2 linked regions of the Cricetulus griseus genome follow. The protein of the gene in region 1 interacts with the protein of each later gene in a pairwise test. Links are inferred from orthologs where the notes say so. Each region holds a gene or a part of one and is shown in the gene's direction. Other genes may lie near its edges.

Region 1 (6,064 bases):
CTGGTTTGGGAGAGAGCAGTGAACCCTTTGAAGTTTTGTGCTAATGTCATTATGTGAGTCATGTGAGAGGATTGGCATATTCACTCACCTCGATGAGATGACACAGATGTGACAGCAGCCTACCTCACCGTCCTCTCCAGTAGATCCTGTCTGAAGAGACTGACAGGTTCTTGTTTTAATAATCACAGTGGTATGCTCTTTGTAGTGTCGATCTGGCCCAAAGCCAGAGCTTGCTAACATAGAATGCCAGAACTACTCACTCTTCTTTTTTTTTTCTTAATGTTCAGGAGGAAAAAAAAAAACAATTAGAGAAAATAATCTTGACTTAGGGGGTGAGAAGAGCTTTTAAAAATTTAATTCAAACAACGGTGCCCTCTCGTTTCTAAAAATGAGAGCAGTCTTGTATGTTTCCAACCCTTCCTACATGGATTCTGCCAGAATTCAAGCATCTCACATCCTTTCCTATAGTAATTTACTATGTATGTAAAAGACATGGCCACAAATTGGCTGAAAACAAGGAGAAACAGTACCAGTCACGACAGGCTTTACAATCCAGAACCCATGTCCCTTCAGAGGGTTCCCAAACATTCTCAAATTACATGCAAAGTCCTGTGTGCTGGAGAGGGCTCAGAGCCTTGGGAACGGTTCGGGTAGGATGGGAGGGGCTGTTGTTCCAGAACCAAACAGGAGCCATAGTAGGATCAGCTTTGTTTCACAGCTTCTTTGGCAGGAAAGTCTCCTTTCTTCGTTCTTCGCTATCTTTGAGAGAAGTGAGGGGATTTTTTTTTTTTTTTTTTTAACTTGCAGTGCATTGTTGAACTTATCAGCAACTGCTGGTAAACAACAGCTGCTCGGCTCTGAAGTCAACAATCTATAGATAAAGCTATAGGAATAGATTCATAAACATTGTGGGGATGTATACAATGTAATTACAGTATATTGTACATGCAGAGTACACTGCCAGTGGGATGCGGGGGGAAATTAAGCACAATGTGTTCCGTAGTTCACTGTGGTATTATTTATATGTGATAATTATACTGATGAGTTTCTTCTTACGGCGAGCAGGGGCCTTTGTAGCTTGTCTCTGCCTTCTGTGCTCAGACCTGCTTCACTCCCCTCCAGCCCTGGATGCAGATGGCGTTCTGATTGTCTGGTGGAACAGTGGGTGGATCTAAGGGGAGCAACCGGACTTCAGAAGGCAGCTCTGGGGGCGAGAAGAGGGAACTCTGAACAGAGTCCAGTTTGGCCCTCCAGTGTAAACTAGAGGAAAGAGTGGTTCCCCCAGGACAGTCCGTGACCCGTGGGCTGCACCATAAACAGACTGCCCTCCTTCATATGGAGGAGTCGCCATTTAAAATCTAGGGAAATTTACAGGGGAGAAATTCAGATTCCTTGTTTCAAAAGGAAAGAAGGGAAAAAGGTAGGAAGGAAATGAAGGGAGGACCTGGCTATTCTGGACACAGATTCCTACGTGGTGATGGCATTCAGGAGCTAGGTGGCCACTTCCCAAGGCACTGTGTTTCCAGTTTTCCATTCTGCTGTTGAATCTGGCCTTCCTCATTCTTATATATACTATGTATTTCGACTATGGACATAGATTTTTTTGGAATCCTGGTTTGAATAAAATCCATTTACGTTTTTGACAGCCCAGGTACTCACATCAATAGATCAAAATAGAATGGTCAGCAGACTTTCAGAGCAAGTTGTGTCAGAGAAGAAAAGTTTACTAGAAGTCATCAGCCAGAAGGTAGCTTTGCCTAATCCAGACTGTGCTTAGGGGCGGGCATACAGTTAAAATGGTGCTGTAAGCAAAGGGGGGCTATGGGGCCCTATGCCCATTGGCTCCCTTCAGTTCAGTCCAGGTGTTAAGTGCTTTTGTGAGTTGCTAATGAAACTATATCTTTGACACTAGTCCTCATCTGGATCAAAGGAGGTGGAGACAGAGTGTGACACAGAGGTGGGCCAGGAAGGGAAAACAATTTTCATCTGTCACCAGGGCCATCAGACAGATGCTTCCCTTTTTATTTGGTGCCCTTTTTTTTTTTCAGCGTGCAATCCAAAGAAAAATGATCAAAAGAGATGATTCCAGGGAAGAAAAGAAAATCGGAGGGTAGAAGGCAGCAGATGGACCAACCAAGTAGAAATATTTCAGTGAATGTGGTGTGTGGAAAGGTCTTGGCAGAGCCCAGGGAATCTATGATAAATGTGATAAGTCAGTGGGGAAAATAAAGCTGCATCTTCCATGCAGATATTGTGCAACGCCAACCCTGCCTGCTATTCTTTTAACAGATCCCGATGCCGCTCAAGCTAATAAGAACCATCAGGATGTCCGGAGTTATGTACGGCAATTAAATGTGATTGACAACCAGAGAACTTTATCACAGATGTCACACAGATTAGAGCCTCGCAGGCCATAGAGTGATGTTTTGTCTCCAGTCCACAATCTTTCAAAAAAAAAAAAATTGCCGTGTATGCTACTACTGACTGTGTTGCCACTAGAGAATTCTTGAGAATGAACAGAGACACATACTGAGACCCCTCCCCCGTCTCAGGGCCACATCCAACTATCCAACCATACCAAGAGAGAGGAAGTGATTTGCCTTGTATGATGCTGACATGTTGTAGTTTAGGAGTCATCTGTTATAGCCACCCTCCTTCATTTCCAGCCATGCCATCACAGGCTCACATGAAGAAATAACATTGGTGAGGCCTACATCAAGCCCCTGACATCCCTTTCCAGGCTGTTTGCAGGATGAGACTGTGCCATGAGTGGGTTTGACTTAGATACATTGGTGATGATATAATGGAATGTTTTTTTGGTTTTACTTAGCACCTTGATTTGGGGCATGGGGTCTGGGGAGGGTGTGGAGGAAACCATAAAAGTCCAAATTATAGGTCATATTCCTCCATCTTCATAGTCTTACCTCGAAAGGAGTAGCACCTCACCACAATACTATGAAACATTATGGCTATTTGGTCTGTAATTTCTGAATGATCTATAGAATAATATGTTTACATTGTAACTTTTAAAATTTACAAATCAGGATTACATATGCAAGAATTCTGCTAAGAAACACTAAGGTTCTTAATATTGCCAGCGTTAAGATAGAAAATAACATTTCAGAAGAGCACAATATGCACAAAACGTTTTTCAAAATTGAAATATTTTCCTGGGCATTAAAAACCTTTCCTCTACAAATTTATTGATACTGATGAAAAAACTCATATTTTCTGGACTTAAATGTTATTACAAAAGTCTTAATTTTCAGCAATTGTTTTGCACTTTCAGATAGATTGTAAATAGGTCATGCGATCAATGGTATAGAGTTATTTATTTGCTACATTATAGACATTGTGCCAAATATTCCTTTTTATTTATTTTATTCAGTATGAAATTTTGGAGTACATTTTTTTTTCTTTTTTCACAATTAGACTACATCTAATGTGTAGGAATTGTATGTACATATCTCTTCTGTAAATAACAGCCAGTATCTTCATTAAATATACTTGACAAGAAATAGTTGTGTTGTCAGTTTCTTTGATGCAAAAAGTCTTACCTTCCAGTATGGTGAGTGCTGGGTTTTTTCATTTATTTATTTGTGTGTGTGTGCTGAAGACTGAACCCAGGGCCTCATGCATGCTAAGCACACACCCAACCTGAATTTGTTTTTGTTGTTTTTTTTTTTTTTGACTTTTTTTTATTTGAATTAGAAACAGGATTGTTTTACATGACAATCCCAGTTCCCTTCTCCCACCTGTCCTCCCCTACCCACCCCCAACTAAAACCCTACCTATCACATATCCTTTCTGCTCCCCCTGGATGGTGAGGCCTTCCATAGGGTGTCATCAGAGTCTATCATATCCTTTGGGATAGGGCCTAGGCCCACCCCCGTGTGTCTTGGCTCAGGGAGTATTCCTCTATGTGGAATGGGCTCCCAAAGTCCACACCTATGCTAGGGATAAGTACTGAACTTCTACAGGAGGTCCCGTAGATTTCCGAGGTTTCCTCATAGAAACCCATGTTCCTGGGGTCTGGAACAGTCCCATGCTGGTATCCCAGCTATCAGTCTGGGGAGCAAGAGTTCCCCGATGTTCAGGTCAGCTGTTCCTGTGGGTTTCACCAGCCTCGTCTGGACTCCTGTGCTCTTCACTCATCCTCTGCATCTGGGTTCCAGTTCAGTTCGGTGATTAGTTGTGGGTGTCTGCTACTACTTCCACCAGCTGCTGGATGAGGGCTATCAGGTGGCATATAAGTCAGTCATCAATCTCATTATCAGGGGAGGGCATTTAAGGTAGCCTCTCCTCTGTTGTTTAGATTGTTAGCTGGTGTCATCTTTGTAGATCTCCAGACATTTCCCTAGTGCCTGATTTCTCTGTAAACCAAAAATATCTCCCTCTATTAGGGTATCTCCATTCTTGTTATCATCTATTATGTTGTTTTTTAATTGAAACAAATTAATATACTAATACTAAAATTCACCCACTAGTGAGTAATCTAGTGAGTTATATTATATTCATGATGTTGTAAAACCATTGTCACTGTCTGACATCAGATTGTCACCTAGTGGAGGGGACAGTCATTAACATTCATCTCTCATTCTCCTTCCAACCCCAGGCAACCCTAATCTACTTTCTGTCGATAGGAGACTGCTCTGAACCTCCTATAATTGGGATCATGTAATACAAGCCTTTGGTGTCTGGCTCCTTTCATTTAGCATAATGTCTTCGTGGTTCTCCCACATTATGCCTTGTATCAGTAGTTCATTCCTTTATATGGTTGATCAATATGTGTTCCATGGATAAGCCATATTTTCAATCTTTCATCACCCTTGGCCATCAGAAATGCTGGTGAGGTGAAGAGGCTCTGGGGCCTCATAATATTTCTCAGTGTGAAGCTTTTAGTAAATGTTGAAAATGGAGGTATCTAAATTCTTTCTGTTAGGGATCTACCTACTTTTTTTTTTTAAGAAAGTCTATTTTTTTTTCATACTGTGTTCCAGGCTGTACTAGTCTTACAAGTTCACATTATTTTTCCATAGACAGAAATACAACCATGAAGACAAGAAAATGAAGATACTATCTTCAAACCAGTTTGGAGGCCACTGCATAGTATATCTATTTCTTACAAATAAGTCCTGATTCTCATTAATACATTATGGCTCTGAGAAGTCCTATTAAAATTTATGTAACACCCCACAATTAAAACCCACCTTGCCAAATACTAAAAGAGGTAAATGGTTTTCTGTGTTTCTTTATATAATATTTCAGTGCTCTAAAGAATAGCAGTGTTATTTCATGCAATATTGACTTCTGCCCAGAAGTACACACATGAAATTGGATTTACTACACAGTAATGATTTTTTAAGTCACAGAATAGATTTTCTTATAATCATGATTATTCAGTGTTTCACTGTGTCACAGGCCTCAATCAGCTGCAGAGTTTTCACTGTTACAGACTTCTAAATAATTTTTAAAAATCATTAATAAGGCCGACTGTCCATTCTTCATTGCTTTAACCTTATCCTTCTTCCTTTCTGCATTTCTTAAAAACTCACCAACTCCATTCCCCAATTCCACAGTGACTGACACAGTATAACCTCATTTTAATTTACTCCCAACATTATTAAAAATTAATACATAGTCTCCCATGTGTATTACCCTTGGTCTCCCACATGAGAATAACAATTACTGTATAAAACAAAGATAAGAGGTCTTAATTATGACTGGCTTTTATATAAATACATGAAATTCCTTTATTCAAGGTAGAAATGATGAGGCAACGCTTCCTGAATCGGGGGGATGCAGTTAATATTGTAACACTTGCAAACAAGCCAAAAGAAAATGAGATGCCTACAAGGTCACAAGAAGGATAATGAGGTTTGCTGAAAGATGTGGGGGGAAAAGAAAGAGAATGTTTTTCCTAAAAGCTCCAGTAGAAAATTATAGATTTAAGTTTTAACATAGCTGCTCAGCAAGGTCACTGGCATAGTGTCCGGTAGCTGAGCCTGCCCAGCAGCGTTTGAATGCCATGCAGGTTCAATATACTTCCCTCCTGAATTTAATG
Region 2 (6,645 bases), on another chromosome or scaffold:
GGGGCTCAGTGATTAAGAGCACTTGCTGCTCTTGTGGAGGGCCAGGGTTCAGGTCCCAGCACTCTTGAGGCCACTCACAACTGACCCTCCTGCCTTAGCCTCCTGAGCGGCTGGGATGACAGGCATACATACACACTTGGCTGATTCCTTTCTCTAAAAATGAGGAAGCTGAGAAACAAAGGATGGAGATGCTCAAGTCTTTAGTCTAAGTTTAATTTGCAAACCATGGAAAGCAACTTGGATGAGGGAAGGCAAGAAGATGATTTACAGGAATGTTCTTAAATAGTTCTCTGGTCCTACGGAGGGATGGTGACCAGGCCTTGAAAAGTGGTAGGAAACAAGGGGATGGGACTGCCATGGAAACAGGTATGGGTGTTGGCACTACTGTTGCCCCTGCCACCAGTTAAGAGAAATTCTCCATTGTCTCTGGTTCTGTGTCAACTGCTTTTGTGTCAGAGTTCCAGGAGGAACAACTGCTTTGCCAAGCTCAGTCTTTGTTCCATCATGATGTGCTGCCAAGGGCATGTTCTGGGTGGTGGCATCTATCCTAGGAGATGGTGGTCCACCTCCCACGAGGACCCTACTGTGCTGATTCTCCAGCTGCATGAAGGCAGCCGAGCCCCCAGAAAGCCTACTCTCTCTCTGTAGGTCAGCACCAAAGTGAAAACACAGAGGCTCTTTCGGCCTCCTTCACTGGTTATCCCTAAGGAACACGTCACAGGTGCAATACTGAACAGCTGTGGACTCAGAGTGCATGTCAGGCTGTCTGCTGTGCTGGGCTCCATGGTGGATGCTGTATTCCAGATTTCTGAGGAGCCCGAATGTGTCTCCAGGGAGATTCTGAGTCTAGAAGGGACGGTGTGGTCCTTGCCTCTTCCCTTGCTGCTGCTGTAGAGAGCAGATGCTGCAGGTGGCAGTGGCTGCCATATGACTTGACTCTGTGTGGCTCCTTATTAGACTTGTGTTCTGACCATTGCACACTATCTGCATCTTGAATTCAGGTTTGGGCTGTGTGTTGGTTTATTTATTGAAATGCAGTTGGCTAATCCAAGCCAGGCTGTTATTACAGCTAACACATTGGCGTCACACATCCATGTTCGAGTCCATTGTGACCTGTGCGACGCACTTGCAGATACATTGCTTCATCTGTGAGGCGGGGCTCGATCTCCTGGATTGTTGGTAATGGGTCTTTAGTAGATGAAGAAATGTTTTAACATTGTAGCAACCAGGCAAGTTGCACAGCTTGGCCCCATTACCTGGCAGGTAGATGGCTTAAGACCCCACTTCGACATCTCAAGTGTGACTGCTAATGGCACTTATGTGCACTGTGTGAAACAGTGGGGAAAACACACTTGTCTCAGTTCCTGGCACACACTCAGCATTGCCTAAATGGTAATTTCTTTTTCCTTCACAGAGGGGTAAGACTAAGGACACTTAGAGCAGGATGTGTGGGCTGCTCCCTAACTGTGATGGATTCCTTTGGCTTCCAGTCTCCTTATAAAATGGGGTGGGGGTAGCATTACATGACTGAGAAAATGTACTCTGAAATGCTTTCCCATCTGGGTTGGGGGTCCACAGCAGCACATGACCCCGAGACTTCTCTGCATTACAGGTTGTTGGAGGAAGAGTCTTCTAAGAGGGCGGAATTGGAAAAGTGGCACCTGGCACAGCAGCAGGCTATCCAGACGACAGAGGCGGAGAAGCAGGAACTGGAGCAGCAGCGTGTCATGAAGGAGCAGGCTCTGCAGGAGGCCATGGCACAGCTGGAACAGCTGGAGCTCGAGCGGAAACAGGCGCTGGAGCAGTATGAGGTGGCTGGACTTACCCTGCACACACCTGTAACTGACTCCTTAGAAACCCTGATCAGCTAGGGTAGGGGTGGGGCGCTGCATCCACTCTGCAGAAACTTGCACACAAACAATAAAACTCCAGCGTTCACTTAGCAGAGTCTTAGCATAGAGAAGGAATAGGAAACTTTTTTCCCCCCAGAGGATGGAGGTGTCTGTCAACTCAGGGACCACAGAGGAGCGTGAGTGGGAAAGTTTACACAGTTATAAACTGTGACAGAGAAGTCCCCGCCAAGCTGTAGAACAAACTCTGAGAACCATGGGGATGACGGGTGTAGGCAGCAGCCATTGCCCTACCCTGAGGTAGAGCACCCAGGGGAGGCCACACCTCATTGGAAGGGCAGCTTACAAAAGAAAGTGTTCAGTTGGACTTAGGGTTTCAGTGGTTAGCGCCCATGATGGGAGAATGAAGGCATGGAGACAGGAGAAGCTGAGAGCTCATATCTTGATCTGAAAGCACTGCAATGGCTGGCATGAGTCATTTTGAAACCTCAGAGCCCACTCCCAGTGACACACTTCCTCCATCAAGGTCACTGCCCTAATCCTTCCCCAAATAGCTCCACCGACTTGGGACCAAACATTCAAACATCTGAGTCTATGGGAACCATTCTCATTCAAGCCACTATGACTATGGCTGTCCTGAGTGAGTGCCAGCAGAAAGAAGAGCCCCTTCCTCCCCATGTCCTTCAGAACCTGTTATTGTTGAAGCTGGGGCTGCCCCTATAGTGAGAGAATTAATACAGCAACAAGACAGGTTGGGGAAGGGCAGGCCTGGAGCAGAGAGGCAGTAAGCTGACAGTAGGGTCCTAGCATCACATGCATGAGGTGAGAAGAGCCTTGGAATCAGGTGGCTTGGCTCCCAGCCCTGCTTCCTGCATGTGACCGTGGGCAGATGGCGTAGCTCTCTGCCTGAGTTTTTGCTAATGTGCAATAGTGGTAATGGTAGCTCCTCCCCCTAGAGTAATTCTGATCATTTAACGATGGAATCCACAGGTGTACAGTAGGTGCCAGTCCACGCTACTTGGTTCTTAAACTGCCACTTTTGTTCTAGGGAGTTAAAAAGAAGCTAGAGATGGCAACTAATATGACGAAGAGCTGGAAGGACAAAGTGGCCCATCATGAGGGATTAATACGATTGATAGAACCAGGTAATAATATAACTATGATCTATTTTAACTTACTTTCTGTTATATTTATGTGATTGAGTTGTATTAAAAACAACTGTCTTAGGGGCACAGAGCCCTTGGTTCTATGCACAGCACCACATAAACTGGTACCTGTGACCTAGCTCTTGGATGTGAAGTGCAGGGTCACCCTTGAGATGGCTCAGGGTGAAGCACTTGCTCTGCAGGCCTGGCCACCTGAGTTCAGGTCCTCGGAACCCTCATCAAAACCTGGATGGGGGACATGGACATTTGTAATCCCAGGGGCCCTACAGGGGCCGAGAGTCACCATGAAGGCCAGCTGCTTCCTGTGAGTCTCTCTTGAACAGCTTGTCCTCTGTAGTCAGTGGCCCCAGGTGACCTTCCTGCATGTATCTTGCAGCTCTTTTGGCTGGTAAGCCTTTTGGGCATTCCTCAGAGACAGAGTAAACAAGTAGAAAAGTTGTTTTGTCCCTGGAGTGATGACAGGGGTGGAGGGTGTACCTGCATTGAAGGCATGCTTGTTGCTTAGGTTCAAAGAATCCTCACTTGATCACCAACTGGGGACCCGCAGCATTCACCCAGGCAGAGCTCGAGGAGAGAGAGAAGAGCTGGAAAGAGAAGAAGACCACGGAGTGACAGCTCTCCCAGTGGCCACCCCAGGCACAGTCACATCAGTGAGGAGCCGAGCTCCATGCCCAGGACAAGGACACTGGCTTTGCTGCTTCTAACCATCTTTCCTCAGGGCTCCAGCGGGGTCCACATGTTGAGGACACTGTATTTACCTTCTAGAGCTGTCTGAGCTTTCCTGGGTGAGAACATAGGCACAGGTGTGGCTGGGGCCACCTTCACTGTCACCTTCTGCAGCCCTGCAGCCGCTGATGTCAGCCCTTCTCTGCATAGGACGTCTGCTGCCTCCTAAGGCAGTGTGTCTCCTCCGATGGTCTGTTTGCCTTTCCCTGTCAGGTGACACGGCAAGCCTTCATTGTTGGTGCTGTGATGGACCTGGGCATCATGCACTTGGCATGCTTCATTTGCATTTCCTTTCCCCTCATTTCATAGCAAAACGTATCTTGACCCAGTGTCTCTACCCAGTTCCCTGGACATTCTGTCCCCAGCCCCCGTCCACGAGTGGAAGTTATTGATATTAGAGGGGCTAACTTGAAATCAGTGGTGATTGGCTAGTTTAGGAGGTTAAATGTGGACAGTGGGAAGCTGACAGTACGTGGGCTGGTTAGATGTAAAGTGTCACAGGATGAGGGCAAGCCCTTCCTTTAGCCAAGCTGGGATTGTGGCTTTCACTAGGATTGTGTCTCTGCTTTTCCCACTTCCATGGGTGACCAGGTCATGGTTCCTATGTTTTTGTTTTTTATTTTTTGTTTTTTTTTTTTTTGAGGAAGATTTTCTGGGATTGAGAATAGTAAAAGTAAGCTTTCCCATGCTAGTTGGAATCTATAAGCTCAGTGACTCCATGGACAGCCACAGTGCTTTACATTGTAAACAGAAGGGTGATTTCCAAGTTACAGAAAAGGTGAAATTCAGTAACAGAGCAGAGGACCCCGAGTGTCCTGGTCCTTGCCTTTCCTTGCCTTGGGGCAGAGAGGAGGCCATTCCAGACATGTGCAAGTCTAGAGATAGATTTCAGTGTTCCTGGTATTTACATAAGGACTGGATAGAATTCCATAAATCTCTACCTTTTATGACTGGAAAACATTTGCCAATGGAAGTCTCATAAATTTTTCTTAAGATTTTGGGCTGCTTAACTGTAATTTTATTTAATGTTTATAGTTGCTTTCATAGAGTTTAGATTTGTATGCAGAATATCACTGTATCGTGAACCTTAAGCTAACCTGGGTGTGGGTTTCTGCCTGGCCATTCATTCACCTCACCCACCAGTGTTTTCTTTTCGTTGCTGCTGGGCTATCAGATGAGGGGGCCAGGGCCTCCCCAGTGGCTTAATGATGTCTCCTAGGGGACTTCAGTGACCCTGGAGAGAATGAGGAAAAGAAACCGCAAGAAAGTTCTGACTGGTGTGAAATGTCTGGATGGAAGCTGAAGACCTGGGAGTCCAGGGGAGACTGGGGTGAAGGGACTGCCATGTCCTGGCTGGCAGACCATTCATTCCTCCTTAAGCCTGACTTTCTTTGAACACAGCCAGAAGCAGCGCCTGCTATGGCCCTCATTGTCTGGCCTGGGTGCAAGCCTGAATTCGGCCTGCATCCTGCTCGTGCAGTACTGTATGGGCTGTGCAGAGGTGTCTGCAATCTGTAGACACTGGCTGCAGCAGCACTGTGGCTGGGGCGTGGATAAAGAAGACAGCACAGATGTGGACTCTGCGACTCCCTTTTGGTCAGATGCTTTGATGCTCATGGATCTCTCCTGATCCTTGCTGTGGCTTCAGCTAAGTGCCTGTCGACCCCTTGCCTCACCTCTGTAATAGCTACAGGAAACTTCAGGAGTGCCTGTCTGTAGGCACTGTAATCAGCCCTTCCTACTGTTAGAGATAAGATTATCTGCAGGAATTGTGAATGAAAAACATTTTGAAATCTGTTTTGGAATCTGCCTGTATTGAGAAGGAACAAAATATTTATAATTTTAAGCATTTTTATCTAAACATTGTACAATGTAATATGCTCAACTTTCTTAATTTTTTTGCTAATTTTCTAAGATATTAAAATGTTTTTATGGGATTTTGTTTTGTTTTTAGTACAGTGAACTCAATAAGAAAATTAAACATACCAGAATTTTATACATTTTAAAACTGGTTTAATAAAATGGTAAAGTGTGTGTGTGTGTGTGTGTGTGTGTGTGAGAGAGAGAGAGGGGGGGGGGAGGAGAAAAGAGAGAGAAACTGAGAAGCCTCTGTAAAGCAAAGAACATAGTCAAGAAGACAAAATGGGTCCCTACAGAATGGGAGAAGATCTTCACCAACCCCACACCTGACAGAGGGCTGATCTCCAAAATATACAAATGGGGTGACTGGGACAATATATGAAGCCATTGGCAGTGGATCCAACACCTAACACTAATGCACAAACTGACTTAGTGGAGCCCATGCTATATGGAGAGATACCGTGCCCAGCCTAGACACAGGGGTGAGGGGTGGAGAGGTGCCTTGGTCCTGCCTCAACGAGATGATGGGATAGACTTAGTAGACTTCCTATGGGAGGCCTTACCCTCTCCGTGGAGCAGATGGGAGAGGGGAGTGGGGGATTGGGAGGAGAGGAGAGAGGGGGAACTAGGATTGGAATGTAAAAAATAAATGAATAAAATAAAAAATATAAATGGTAAAGTGTGTGGGTGTTTCCTAATTTCATTTTCATACAATCCTGTGGATGTGGTTTAGGGACACTCCTGAAAACACTGGCTTTGGGAGTCAAGACCTCAAGTAGTCAGCTGTGACCTCATGTTTGGTGTTTGAGTCACAAATGTGGGGAACTTGGCGGATGTGTCAGCTCAAGAACCTCCAGAGCTGACCTCTCTTCATTGTTGCCGTTACCCCTGAGCCTTTTACTCTTGACTGTTTTCTCAAATTTTCTTTATGTCTTTGAGTTTTTCTTTCACTAGAATAAACGGTGTAGTTTTCTATTTGGGTTTACCTGGTCCCCAAGATTGAAACTCTGACTGTAGATGAAGAAGGCTTTTGCTTAGCTTGA

What was found.
Region 2: the proteins of rap guanine nucleotide exchange factor 4 (region 1) and Swap70 interact in a two-hybrid assay, tested with the Homo sapiens proteins (2 studies listed by BioGRID and IntAct). The link is inferred for Cricetulus griseus from reciprocal best matches to the Homo sapiens genes RAPGEF4 and SWAP70.

What each region holds. Positions count from the first base shown.
Region 1 is NC_048599.1:102,904,261-102,910,324, reverse strand, and holds the end of rap guanine nucleotide exchange factor 4, read left to right. Parts: intron 1-2,289; coding exon 2,290-2,417; 3' UTR 2,418-3,518; downstream 3,519-6,064.
Region 2 is NC_048596.1:90,428,811-90,435,455, reverse strand, and holds the end of Swap70 (switch-associated protein 70), read left to right. Parts: intron 1-1,612; coding exon 1,613-1,811; intron 1,812-2,898; coding exon 2,899-2,995; intron 2,996-3,521; coding exon 3,522-3,628; 3' UTR 3,629-5,679; downstream 5,680-6,645.